Linked DNA regions of Drosophila melanogaster. The protein of the gene in region 1 binds, or shares a complex with, the protein of each later gene. Each region holds a gene or a part of one and is shown in the gene's direction. Other genes may lie near its edges.

Region 1 (6,932 bases):
CATTTGGATGATTTATCTGCGCCGCGGGGCGACTTTTTTGGGTGATAAATTTCTTGGAAATATCTCCGCCTTAAGCAATTCTAATGCCGAGTCCCATTAAAATTTATCGTTCCGCATAATGCTAATGACTTATATTAATTTTGGAATGGCTCACGTTTTGCTCTGTAAGTCAGTTGGCATTTTGCTGATAATCAGTCCAAACAGTCTATGGCATAGAATCAGTGGCCAATCAAGTCAGTTTGGCCGGAACAACTAATAATGGTGATTATTTTTTGTATCACCATGACAATGTCAACATGAACGTCATTCAGATGGGACTCAAAGGCTTAATGGCAGCTTCTCTGCGCATTTGCAACAAATAAAGCCTGTCTGACCTTTGTTGCTTCCTCGAATGTTGCAATATTTATGCGCACACATGCAGAGGATGGAAATTCAAGGCTCAACTGCAGGCCAGGATCTTAAATTATAGTCAACTGTTGTCGGCCGTTCATGGTTCATTTATATTTATGACTAGGGTACACACAAAACGAATTAAATGAGCTGTTCTTGGGGTCGTTTAGGGGAAGAGAAAATGAAAAGGGTGTACATTAAATGAAAATTATTCCCACAGATATCATCTCGTTCCTAATAGCATTCGCATGCAACAGATTGTCAACAAAATGATTTGCTTGCGGAAAGGGGAGAAGGCCTCCTGCAGTGGGCAGCAGCACACGCGTCGTATGCGCAATTTGCATAATGAGGACATGAGACAAGGAGTTGGCATGGGCATCATGGGTTTTCCGTTTCAAGGCACCGTCCCCACAGACAGATGACCCAATTTTTAAGGGTCCTTCAGCACTTTATTGAGCGCCTTTCTAAATCCCTTTCGCTTTGCATTCCCTTTATGTCTTAAGTGTCTGTAACCTGAGGCTAAGCGGTCTATTTTCAGCAGTCCAGACATGACCTTAAAGCTAGTTGCCTACTTAAGGATTCCTCCAGCGTGGCCATGCCACGCATTCGAATCATTCGCCTTGGATACACGGCAGCCCGAGGAGGTTCAAAGGTAAATAATCGGATAAATATTTGTAATAATTTCTTGAACGATGAACCACTTCCAAGCGAACAGCAAGTGGTATCCAAAACCACTTTCGCACTCACAATCAGATGCAGCTCATTAGCATTTGATTTGGCGTCGAACCGAAGAAATATTTCCGGCAAAGCGGGCAAACATTGAACCTTTGCTCTGTGTCATTGCCATTTGCGGTTAGTTGAGCGGCAAAAGGTAAACAAATTTACGGGAAAACTCCCTCACCACCTGTGGTTTGAATAATGAAGAGGTGTTTGAGGTGTGAAAATAAATTTGGTAGAAACGAAGCGCTGGAGTGAGTAATCAATATGAATGCGATTTAGGTGCAGAGATCTATCATTCCGTGGTAAATATGTATATATTGTACAACTCATACTCTTCGTATAAGGAAGTGAATCAAAATTTGACAAATAACCATAATAACGATTATTTCTGATTATTTTGATAAATGCGAAATGCGACGAAAATGTATGTCGTTAATGTTTCAGTTTATTCACACGAGTAATATTTATCCAATCTATCTATCCAGTAGGCTGGTGTTATAACATTCACTATCTTTCTATATCCCTCATTCATTTTAGCTAAATCATCCAAAGAACATAAATAGATGTAAAATATATCAAATACAGTTTATACATTATTGTGCTTTTGCGTTTATTGGTGCAACTCGAGGCCAACGAAAGTTTGTTTCGGTGAGTAAAGAGCCTTTGGATGAAGATGGTGCGCCCAATTCGTCGCAAGGGAATCGAGGAGGTCTATGGTTCCAAAATGGATTCCTTGCATCCGGTAAAGTCGGTAGCGATATCCCATGCAGGTGTGACCAAGAAAACAGCAAGGGCTGAGAGATCGGGTCCAGGCGGTGCAACTGGCGGTGGAGGAACCATTAGCTCCCGACAAGTCGATGCTCGCACTCAGCGCAGTTTTGTCACCGAAAATGATTACTACATCACCACCAATCTGCCGTTGACGGCGGCCAATCTGCGAAATGCCCCCGGTTCGATGGCGCAGCCATCAATATCGCAAATGATTCCCGGCCATGTCCAGCCATCTCCATATAACGCCATGCCCTCGAGGCGAAACCAAATGGCCAATAAGGCCAGTGCTCGTCAGGCGCCGATGAACAAGGTGCCGCATTTTAGCCCGGCCGAAGGCACGGTAAACCCTAATGGCTATGGCATGTCCAAGTCGAAGGAGACATACCGAATGAAGCACCGCGAAAAGGGCAATACCCAGAGGAACGACTATCCAATGGATGACAACGACGACTACTCCGATAAGGAACTAATGGTGCCCCAGCAGGGAAACATGGGAAATATGCGCCGGCACAATCCGCACTCTCATGCCCATCAAATGCAAATGCAGTTGCAATCCGGAGCAATGCAGCATCCGCCGCAACACCAGCTGCACCAGCAGCAGCAGATGACTACTCACAACCACCTCAAGCATCAGCAACAGCAGCGCCTCCAGCATTCGCAACCGCATCAGCATCAGCATCAGCATCCGCATCCGCATCAGAAGCAGATGCGTGGGCGACAGCCTGTTCCGGCGAGCAAGGTGCACGTGAGTACCGCCGATGACGATGAAGATAAGGAGGAAGATCCTGAGGAGTTCTTTGACCTGATCCGCCAGACTGTCAAAACGGCCGTTGGCGTGAGTTTCGCATAAGTTCCTTAGTTGATTAGTTAATACACTATGCACTTTCTTTAGAACACCATATCCGATGCTCTGGCAAAGAACTTTCGCGATCTGAGCCACAAAATCGAAAGGTTCTCGGGCGAGTTGAAGCAGACAAACGATAACCTGGATAAGCTGCAGGAACAAGTCATTAGCAGTGAGTTTATTTACTTTCAGTGTTTATTTGGTATTTATAATATGTAACTATTTTTTGGCATCTGCAGAGGTAATTTACTTCGGTGAGGAAAATTCGCGACACTTTCGGTACTTGTGCATGAAATCCGAGTACGATAAAATGTTTTACCAGCATCAATCGCTGATGAATGGAAAGCCCACTCAGGAAATGCTGAGTCTTTCGAAGGCGAACTTAGAAGCAGCGGCCTCAGTCAGTCAGAATCTGACACAGAAACCGTCGCATAGTTTAAAACAACAACCAGGAAAAGTGATTAGGAATCAAAGCAAAATGCCTATTAGCGCCAAAAAAGACCATAACGAGTCCCTAATGAACTCCAGTGCCTATCGTAGCATCTGCAAAGCTCAGCAGCCAGTTCTTGCTGCACAAAAGTCGTCATCGGAGCAAAGTTTAGTTGTAAAATCATCTGATGTGGGCGTGCAAGAAGTCCTGGATAATATCCAGCGCTACTGCAATCAGGTGAAGGATATGAATGGTCAGATGTCGGCTGAACTGCCCAGTCTCGAGGACATCTTGATACCCAAGAAAAATTCAAACGGTGGACTTTGTCAGCCAGCAGCCATGAGCTCTAGGACCCTCGCAGGTAGTCAGAAAAATAAAAAGGTTGACGACACGGAGATCGAAACGCCCAACGATAGTACGGATGAGACCTACACCGAAGTGGATGACTTCCAGCTCTCCTCGGACATCTCGACCGGCAGCGAGGACGATGACTGTGGCCTCAAGTATCCAAGTGGAGCAACTACGAGCCGGCCCAACCGCAAATTAAATCGAAGGGGAGCCAACCAAGGCGCCGGAGATGGTCAGTAAAGCCACTGGAGTGAAGATAAAGGAGCATTCAAACTGAAGGGGAACCCATTCCTAGAAATCGCCTTAATACTTATTTAAATATTACTTTTGGCATGACCTAAATTATTTCTGATAATGTAAAGCCAAAAAAAATTGGATCAAATGTTTCGACAAATTAACTATAACTTATCGTACCTGGCGTACATGTATTCATTTAATTCATTTTTAGGATCACAATTAAACTATGTTCAAAATTTAAAACTGGCTTTCATATTCTTATTTATGTTATGTGAACAGCTTACATTGAGCATAAAACTGACCTATTTGGCCCTTGGCAATCCCGATTCTCGCTGAGTAATGCCCATTGGTGTCACTAATAAGTGCATATTATATTGACTGCAAAGCAAGAATCAACTGAGCTGGCCAAAACAAGGCATCACCCCCATCCGGCAACCGGGTAAAACTGAGTCGAGTGGAAAATAAGGCCTAAGACCACCCCCACTAGCCCTAACCTGCAGCTGCATTTTTATGGGCTTACGAGTGTCGCGGCTCTGCAAGTTCTTCCGCTAGTTCAGTTGGCCAAAACAGTTTAAACGTGGACGTGGTCCGTCGGTAAGATATTGGTGCGTCTATTCAAAGTAAAATGAGTATTTAAATAAAAAGCCAAACAGCTTAATAAGGCCATATAGTTGCTTTTTGGGCAATTAAAGTTAAACCCCCTAAAGGAATTGAGCTCTAAATTAAACTTATGCAACGTGGCCAAATGAAAATGCTTACTTTTCAACTGATGTTGCGTTTGACGTGAATTAAAAGTGTTATGCAAAGCCCCAAAACCCGGAAAAGTGCCATACGAATGTCAAAGCCCAAGGCACGAGTGTCGGTTCTGTTTTCAAGGATATTCCACTGAACAGTTTGCATTGGATAGCCATAAAATAAAATAAAACATTTTGATAAACCAACGAGGATAGCAAACATTGTGCAAGCTATCCACAAGTGCCGAACTGTAAGACTGGCCAAATTGCAATTACTGATCGGCACCTTTGACAGGCCACCCTATTCCACCCTGAAACCCGAAACCCTTTTGCCCAGCAAGTTGGCTAATTGCAATGACCAATATTTGAACTGGCTTCGGGGTGTACATATTTATTTGTATAATTATGGGAAATTGTACACTCGACGTGGAAAGCACTCAATTTCGTGAGTGACTGTTTGAGCCAATAACCATAACAACCAGCGAGTGCCGGGCCTCAGCCAAGTTAGTCAAAACAAAACGGCCAAAACAGGTGCAAAACATTGCCACATCAGTGTTCCGCCTTCGGTTTTCCAGGGGGTGGGTTCGAAAACGGAAAAACTAAAATAAAATAAACTGAAATAGAGACAAAAAAAAAATCGAATAGAACATAATTGCATTGTGCGGGCAACTGCAATGCTGCACCCGTTAACACAGGGGCTTACCAAATCAAATTGGTTGTTCGTGGGCCAACAATAAATATATATGTACGGTTTGAGTGCTGCGTACATCACTGGACAAATATAAAACGAGAAACGTTTAATTGACCCTAAAATCACTGAGGCGTTCAATTTGTGTTCCCTTGTTGTTTTTTCTTTGTTTTTTTTTTTTGCCAATTGCTGTTGCCCAAAACTATTGTGGCTCTGACTGTCAGTGGGTCTAGTGCGTGAATCTGTGCAATAAGTGTGTGCAGTGCCATAAATTCCAGAATTCGGCTTCCACAAAAAACCTCTATTGATTTTCCCGAAGTGAGAGAATATGCGAAACAGAAATTTTTTCCACCGTATTACTTTGCACTGATAGTGGGCAAAATCACGAAGAAACAGACATGGAAAAGTGGAAACTATGCCAAGCCAACAAAGTCTGTGTTAGTGTGACAATTTTTAATGCGATTAAAGTGCAGCACTCTCCACGCAGTCGGCAAAATGGTTGAAGTGGCCGGCAAAAAATAAAAAATACAATTCTGCACACTGGCTAATATCCAACTTACCATTTTCTTTCTTCCTTCTAGCTATCAAAATAAAAATAAAATGATATCAATTATCAGTACATGTTGAAGGAAAGACTGCTGCATTGCTTAATTATCAACGGACATTTTTTGTATTTAATTGTAAAACCTTTAAAACTTTAGAAATGAAGGTCATGGACGCTTTGCAATCTGGACGGAGAAAGCCATTACCAGTGGGTGAGTGCTGAGTAAATGTCGTAAGGCAGAAGTGAAGTGCAATGGAATGAATGGCAACTTGAGGGGATTTCTTTTTCCGGGAATATTTCAAGACCTGTATTTTTCTCAAAATGCCATTCAAGCTTGAGTTTGTGTAGAAAATTCCATTGCAAATATGGTTTAAGTGAATTCCTTTATTGAGTAATTCAATCAATTAACTAGTCAATCAACCATGCTAACCAGAACAAAGTTACTTTAAATTTAAGGACGACGATATTTTCCATCTTATACGAATAAGATTTAATTCATTGTTGTCCTCTGCAGCTCTTCTATGCATCCTAGTCACTGTGTTCTGCGTCTTGGAGTGCCATGGAGCTGACCTGACATCACCCACCAAGAAGTCCGCTCCCCTTCGAATAACCAAACCACAGCCCACAAGTCAGCAGGCCAAGCCCATCAGTATTACCACAAGGGCCCCAACAACGGTGGCATCAACCACCGATGATGAAGTCTCCAGCTCCGTCGATGGTCAGCTGGCCCCGCTCATCTCATCCACAACCGAGGGACCCAGCAGTGGAACAACTGCCAGCTTAGTGCCGGAAATATGTCTCAATGGTCTGCAGTTGACGGTCAATAGTGCGGATGAGGGAACGGTTATACGGAAGCAGGAGGAGTTTGTCAAGATACTCGAAGGAGATGTGGTGCTCAGTGTCTTGACCAAGGACCCCGACTCCGCGTTGTTCGTAATCAATCGTGTGAACCAGGCGAATCTTATAATGGCAGACTTTGAAATTGGTTTGTAAAATTCCGCTATTTATATGCACCTAAATCAAATCCTTCTTATTGAATTCCAGGAATTCGCGCCATCAGCATCGACAACGCCAGCTTGGCAGAGAACTTGCTTATTCAAGAAGTTCAGTTTCTGCAGCAGTGCACGACGTACTCGATGGGCATATTCGTTGACTGGGAGCTGTACAAACAACTGGAGTCTGTTATCAAGGACTTGGAATACAATATCTGGCCAATACCGGGAACG
Region 2 (6,932 bases), on another chromosome or scaffold:
GCGAACACCACGCCCAAGCCAATGGCCAGTGGGCCGCCCATGTAGAGGAACTTATCGCTGGGTGCACACGCGGCGATCGTGGACAAGCCACCAACAATGCCGCCCGTGTAGAGAGCGGCGCGCGTCAAAATCGGTCCGCCCATGAAGCAAATGGGTGCGATCACGGCGCCCAGAATGGCGCAGTGCACCGCCCAGGCCAGATGCTTGGCTCCCAGACCCGGCTGGTACTCAATCGAGCGGGCAACTGCTCCACTACCAATGACCAGCGCCAGCGAAGCAATGGTCGCCTAAGCGATTAAAGGCAAATGAAGAGGAAGTGTTATGTTCTGTTGTGTCTGTTGGTCAGGTAGGCGGCAAGAACTACGAATTGTGCAAGAGGACTCACCAAGATGCCGCCACGCGAGGCCAGCTCCAGGAGACGGTGCGAACGGAAGGTGGCTGCTGCTGCGGCCGCGGTGAGAACGCAAGAGCCACCGAAAAAGGCATAGGTGCTCTGGATACGATCGCGCACAAACTGGGGCCACATGCTAAACGGAAAATATAATCTCAGTTATTAAAGTCCCTGTATTTCGCAAGTGAGAGACTCGTGCTATCACTCACATGGCATTATCCGCGATGCTGGTTTGTTTTCCCAATCCCACGCCGTAGTAGCACAGGGCGCCCAATCCCACGGCGGCTGCTCCGGCGGCAGCGCCCTTGCCCATGGAGTATGCTGCACGCCAGAAGAGTACAATTAGACGACCGATATACATAGATGGGGGATTACACAAGAGACTTACCATTGGCACTTGGCGGACCCATCAGTTTCTCCTTCAGCGAGGGAGCACGCATCTCTTCGACGGGCTCACGGGTGCGAACCACCCTGCGGGCGTAGGTGCGCACCGTGGAGAGATTCAGATTGGGATTGGCATTGGCCCGGAACAGCTGGGCCGGAGACTGGGCCAGGATCTTGATAGCCCCGGCTGGACGGGCGGTGGAAAGTGCTAGACGCAGCAACATTGTGTTGTTGTGGTGAAATTCGGTTAGAGGGCAATTGGTTGTCCTTCGGTAAGTGCTGCTTGATTCGGATTCCTATGTGGGGCACTAGCGTTTCTTCCAACTGATTTTAATTGCTCACTGCGGCTTTATAATTTGTTGATTCGTAGAAATTGTTAAATATTTTACTGTCTCTTGTGCTTTATTATCGATAAGTGGTGCAATCGTTATTCGATGTCTGGCTACGTGATAACTAAATGCCTATCGCAGACGGCCACAAATACCGCTAATATCGATATTATGCTAAAATATAATATTGAAAATCCCGAGAAAATAAATAGAAATATAAACTCAACGATCCTGAAGTAAGGAATTCAAATCGTAGCCCGTTGTCTGAGATAATTTATTTGATAAGCTAAGCAATGCTATCGATAGGGCGCCAAGTTTGAATAGCGAGTACAGTGGAAAAAATACACTTCTTTAGACAAAAAAAATGTGAAATTTAAATTTATTTAACATATTCAAGTATTCCGCAATAAACTCCATTTGTATTTGTACACATTAGATCTGCACTAAAGACTAAGTAGTCCTAGGAACAGAGTACCAGTTCACTTCTCACACCTGATACTTCCTCGCCGACGCCGTGTGAATCTCGCCACGAGGGGGTGTCCGCCCGTCGATCACTATCATCTCAGTGAGATGGGATGATCGCAGAGTACCATAGTGGTCATATATGTTGGTCTGCTCCAGAGTTCCCCCCGAATTCGACTCGTAGCTCTTGCACTCATACAGTGGGCAGCATCGGGGATATTCGGCATGCGGGTTCGTCGATGGAACTGGCGTGCAATTGCCCTGCGTCAGTTTCGGCACCTGGCAGCTGGACCATGGATGAGTACGATGATCTGTTACCCGATGCTATGGCATACTAGTACGGCACGCTTACCTATCCTCCCAGAGTTGCAGCGTTTCCAGGCATTGGATGCGGACGCACTGATCCTCTCGCGTGAAGACTTCACCGATATAAAGCTGCCGACCCGTCAATGTATCCATACAGTACTGCTGATTGTACAGATACGCCGAGGCTATAGGGTGAAAGGGAAAATCAACGTATATTACTGGAAAATATATGTGTTATTTGGAAAAATCGTACGTCGATAAGGAATCGCTTGGCTGCCACCGATGATCAATGACATCATGGCCACTAAATAAATCATGCTGCTAATTGACTCCATTTGTGAAAATTTGCTATTCGAAAGAACTGAGATCGGCGGACAGAATTTGGCCCGACGTTTGCAAAGTTTAGCGCACAACTGAAGTCCGTTCGGTTAATCTTCGTTCATTTTTATATTAAAAAACCTAGAGTACATTGTTTATTTGTATGGAATCACACACTTACGACATTTGCGCGCTTTCTCTACAATAAATTTAACAAATTTTACTCGGATCTGTTGAATGTTTATGCGTACGAGCCTGCGAACAGTGCGTTTCATAGGTGTTAAAACAAATGTTTATGATATTGAAATAGATCTCAATACCGTTGAAAAATTCCCTTGCTTTGCCAAAAATAGATTCAATCATACAAATTTAGCTATATTTTCAGTTGATGAGCAACATCATTTACATCTTCAGACTCTTACGCCTTATAAAGCCATCAACTTTCAGTTTATATTACTAAGTGAATTTCTGTTAATTATTGGATTGACAGTTTCGGAACGCAACTTACGATGCTCTGCTTATCGCGCTACAAAATAAAATGGAAGGAAAACGATTAATAGCAATATGCAAAAAGAAACAAATATCGATCCATATTTTGTGTATTGTATATAAGTCCGTCTGACCTGCCTAATCAGCATAATAATATATACCTATATTCGCATGATTGAATCCACAAATATAGAAAGTACTTTCATTGGCATAATTCAATTAATAATAATGATAATTATATCACAAATAGAGCAAAATGTATGCAGAAATTAATAGAATACATCGATTTACTGCTAGAAAATGCAGATTTTATTAAAAATTGTATTTAAGTCGACTGTCTCAGTAATTGTTTGCTTCTGATTTTGAATTGGTTGTACCCATTCTCTTGACCGTTGATGTATAAAATTGTATAAACATTTGAGTTGAGATGCAAAGAATTGTTTACGTTTCGATGTTTTGGTTCGCGCCGGACGATCATGATCATCCAATGCCACCAAGTCCATTATGCAGACAGTCGGGCACTGGGGCATCGATTGGTGGTGAATCATCCAAAAACAGTTCCCAAATCGACACAATACACCATTTAATATAATATAATTTTATGTTACGTTAAGCAACCAATTGAATTGCTTTACAACGTATAAACTAACTCTAGTTTCTCTTCAATTGTCGATATAAATAAAACCTTTTACTCAATAAACTGAAAAAGACTAAAACATCAATGACTAAACTGAGAGAAAGAAATAAATATTTTTATGCAAGACCAATTTGTAGTGCTACAAAATTGCAAATTTCACTACAGTTCAAGATTGAAAAGAGTTTGCATGCAAAATGTGCACAATACGTCAATCAGAAGGTGAATTTCCGGGGTTGTCCCTTTTTTTTTCGAAAAAAATGCGAAAATCTGATTTTCACGTGACAGTCTGTGAAATAGGTATGTAGCACCTAGTCCGCCGGCGAATCCATTGAGAATCGCTCGGGTTGATAAGCCGCATCTTCCGTCAAGTGTGTGTAATAAGTTTGCCGTCTAATCAATTCCAGAATATTTCAAACGATTAGTACGAATTCGATGATCCCAGGCGGGAGATTGGATTTCCACAGATTATTCGGGCCAAGAAATTGTGCGCACGAGTGCAGTTTGGATGTCTGCGGCACATCCTTTCCGTTGGCCAAAAAATCCATAAGCGAAAGGGATACTTGGACTTGATGGCGGAACCGGAAACGGAAGCTGTCACGCAAGCCTTTCACTCGCCGCTCAATTTTTCATCCCGCAGTGTCAGTTGTATGAGTCACGAGTCATGTGTAACCGGAAAATTGCCTACTCTTGTGTGCTTCAAATGCTCGGAAAATGCTTTAAAATATTGCATATTTCTTAGCTTGCGAGTTTTTGATTCTACAGAGTAAAAAAAAAATACCTAAATGTTTGTGTAAATCAATGAAATTAATAGCTTAACTTGTTTTCTTCATATTTCTCGGTTAAAAAGTTATGGAAATATGATATTTTGTAGTTTGATAGAAAATTTTTAATGAAATTTCTATGACTTTCCACATCTCGTTTACTTTTCATGGAAATACACTTCTATTCACCCCAATTGATGACTTTATTTTCTGATTGTGTGGGCTAGTTCCCTATTGAATTCAATTATTTTCAAGCGTTTACTGCTGCTTGCGATCAATTAGTTTAATAATCAATTTAGGTGTGCTGTTAATGCTTAGCTAAATGTAAAGAGTGAGTCAGCTAAACGATTTAAACAAATTTTCTGCCACGTTTATTTGTTGGCGAAAAAGCGCGTTGATTTGCGCTATTCATGTGACGATGTTTAGAGTAAATTGAGTTGTATTTTAAATTATTTCTGTTAACATTTGTAAACGAATAAAGTTTTTTTCCATTGCAAGAAGTTGAAATTTAACCCTCTTTGGATGTAAGCTTTTCAATATATTTAGTCTTAATAAGTCTAGCTCAAAAATAAGTACTATAATTTAATAATTATATACATTTTACATAGCCTCGGCCCATTACCTTAATTTTAATGATACAAAGATGTTACTATGTAAGTCGGAAGCTTATTAAAAACCGAAAATCATCAAATCAACTAGATGCACAATGTTAAGATCATGTTTTTATTAAGATTATATTTTAGATAGATACTCTTGAGGTGGCATTGGTTTCTTGAGATGGAAAATACATCTATCTATCTATGTATCTATAAGAACTTAAATATCTGGCGGCCTGCTTGCGATCTGCGATCAACCGATTGAGTTGAGCTTTGACCCATGGAAAGAGGAGCGCGGTGGGCTATCTACCCATGATATCCAGTTTAGGGGTTGCCCTGCCAATGACGTCATAGTTGCTGCGTCAACGAAAAAGAAGATCAATGGTCATTTAAGATCGGTTCGGTTCAGTTCGGTTCGGTTGCGGTGCGCTTCGTCACTCATCGTTCATCGCATCGTATGGTATCGTATGGTATCGTATGGTATCGTATCGCATCGCATCGCTTCGGTTCGGTTTCAGTTCCGTGCTCAAGTTCTCCAGCTGGGGGGTTGGACTTGGACTTGGAGCTTGGGGCTTGGTTAAAAAGCCGCCGCTCGCCGGCAAATCAGTTCTGCTGCGATCGCGCCACTGCGCACTACGTAACGCTTCGGGAATCGCACATCCAGATCCAGATTCAGATCCACATCCAGATATCTGTGACATTTTGTCGAGTGAGTTGCGTTCTCAAAGATACAAGATACATCCGTGCGCGTATGTGTGTGTTTGCATGAATTTCGGCTCTTTTAATACCCTTTTTTTTTCGCGTGCACTAAGTGTTCCTATGTGTGTGTGTGTGGAGTTGCTTTTCAGTTGGGGCCGCAACTGCAACAATAAAATGCAATTAAGCCGCTCAAATCAACAATAAATTGAATTAAAGCGCGTGAACAGCGCTTAACAACTTCAACAGCGGCGATTCGAGCGAAATGTGGGTGAGAGTTTAAGGCTCCATCGGTTTTGACTTTCTGATTGTACAAATATGTATATATATATACTATAGCATACATACCTTCGACTAATTAATGCAAAACGCTGGCCGGCAGCTTTTGCATAATATTCTCTGAATAACTTTAATGCAATTAATCCCGCTGTGATCTTTCGTGTTTTCACTATTTCGCGCGGTTTATTCAATTTGAATTTCAATTTATTTTCGGTTTTTCTGTTTCATTTTGTTTATACATATATATATTTGTTCGGTCTAGTCTGCTCATCGGGCGATTTAATTAACATTTTCCGTGCTGCTGTGCTGTTGTTGTTGCTGGTAAATATGAAATTAAAGTGCAATTAACTATTATATATACATATATATATATATACATATATATATGTATATCTATGGTTTTGCTGAACTTGCGGACAAAAGGGATTTCCGTTTTTGAAAGTGCGACTCCGCTCGATTATTCTCCGTCCGTCGAATGTGTTTGCATCTTAATGAGGATAAATTTGTTATGGCCACTTCCCGTTCGCTATTGTTGTTGTTGTTGTTGTTGTTGTTGTTGTTTTTGCTGTGGTCGGTCGAAGGGGGCGTGACTTATTGGCCATGCATTACGCCATGTTAATTGAAACTTGTCGCTTGGCTAGCTGATTATGCAGACGCCATATTAATTGGACCATGGACCATGAGAGCATGGACCATCCATGTCCTCTAATCGAAATCCCGGCGACATTTGGATGAGTTGGGCGGTGGAAGCTGGCCAAACCAGTTACGGAGATCATTGGGATTTTGGCTTATCGATCCGGACTTAGATTGTGTGTGTGTGTGTTTGTGTTTACCCTGTTTATCTCGCCGGCAATGTGCGTTGAACCTTTGAGCTGCATCTGAAATAAGTAGAATGCAATGTAGTTAAGCTTTTTCTTGGGGTATATTCACTTGCCTACTTATTTTTATTAATTATTTTCCAAATATATCAAATATATATCAAATATATCAAATATATTATATACATCAAATTTTCAAATATGCAAATATCATTTAATGCTATTGGTACAGCTATTAATCAACTATACATGTAAATTGTTTATGCTTGTTACACTAAATTGAGTAATAATCCGGAAAACTCATGATAATTGACGGTTTGACAAAAATGATAGTAATATAGCATTTTGCAAGGGCAGAACTGCCACTTTGTAAATACAGTGATTGGAGTATCTATTAATTAGACAAAACTTGGCTTGCTGATATACTGCAAATATTTGTAAATTACTAGGTTCGGGCCTTTTAGCA

The links.
Region 2: the proteins of boss (region 1) and sev are in contact, whole or in part, in a cryo-EM structure (PDB 9BFQ), measured with the Drosophila melanogaster proteins. Residues at the interface, in NP_542440.1 of Drosophila melanogaster: His245, Gln249, Glu465, Asn474, Val475, Thr476, Thr477, Tyr478, Tyr479, His480, Tyr481, Asn482, Asn485, His486, Thr487, Ser488, Leu489, Glu490, Leu491, Gln497; in NP_511114.2 of Drosophila melanogaster: Glu866, Leu868, Ser872, Gln873, Ser874, Ala875, Phe876, Ser877, Ile878, Arg879, Asn880, Ile885, Phe886, Gly887, Leu888, Gln889, Arg890, Leu891, Gln892.

Annotation. Positions count from the first base shown.
Region 1 is NT_033777.3:25,957,699-25,964,630, forward strand, and holds the start of boss (bride of sevenless), read left to right. Parts: upstream 1-4,295; 5' UTR 4,296-4,345; intron 4,346-5,743; 5' UTR 5,744-5,865; coding exon 5,866-5,917; intron 5,918-6,220; coding exon 6,221-6,691; intron 6,692-6,750; coding exon 6,751-6,932. Other genes in the region: CG14540 (uncharacterized protein), read left to right, coding at 1,778-2,716, 2,774-2,897, 2,965-3,743. UniProt on the Drosophila melanogaster protein: Acts as a ligand for sevenless tyrosine-kinase receptor during eye development.
Region 2 is NC_004354.4:11,084,646-11,091,577, reverse strand, and holds the start of sev (sevenless), read left to right. Parts: upstream 1-5,278; 5' UTR 5,279-5,382; intron 5,383-6,932. Other genes in the region: CG2076 (uncharacterized protein), read right to left, coding at 1-287, 386-527, 601-712, 780-999; vago, read right to left, coding at 1,591-1,852, 1,919-2,057, 2,126-2,207. UniProt on the Drosophila melanogaster protein: Receptor for an extracellular signal required to instruct a cell to differentiate into an R7 photoreceptor. The ligand for sev is the boss (bride of sevenless) protein on the surface of the neighboring R8 cell.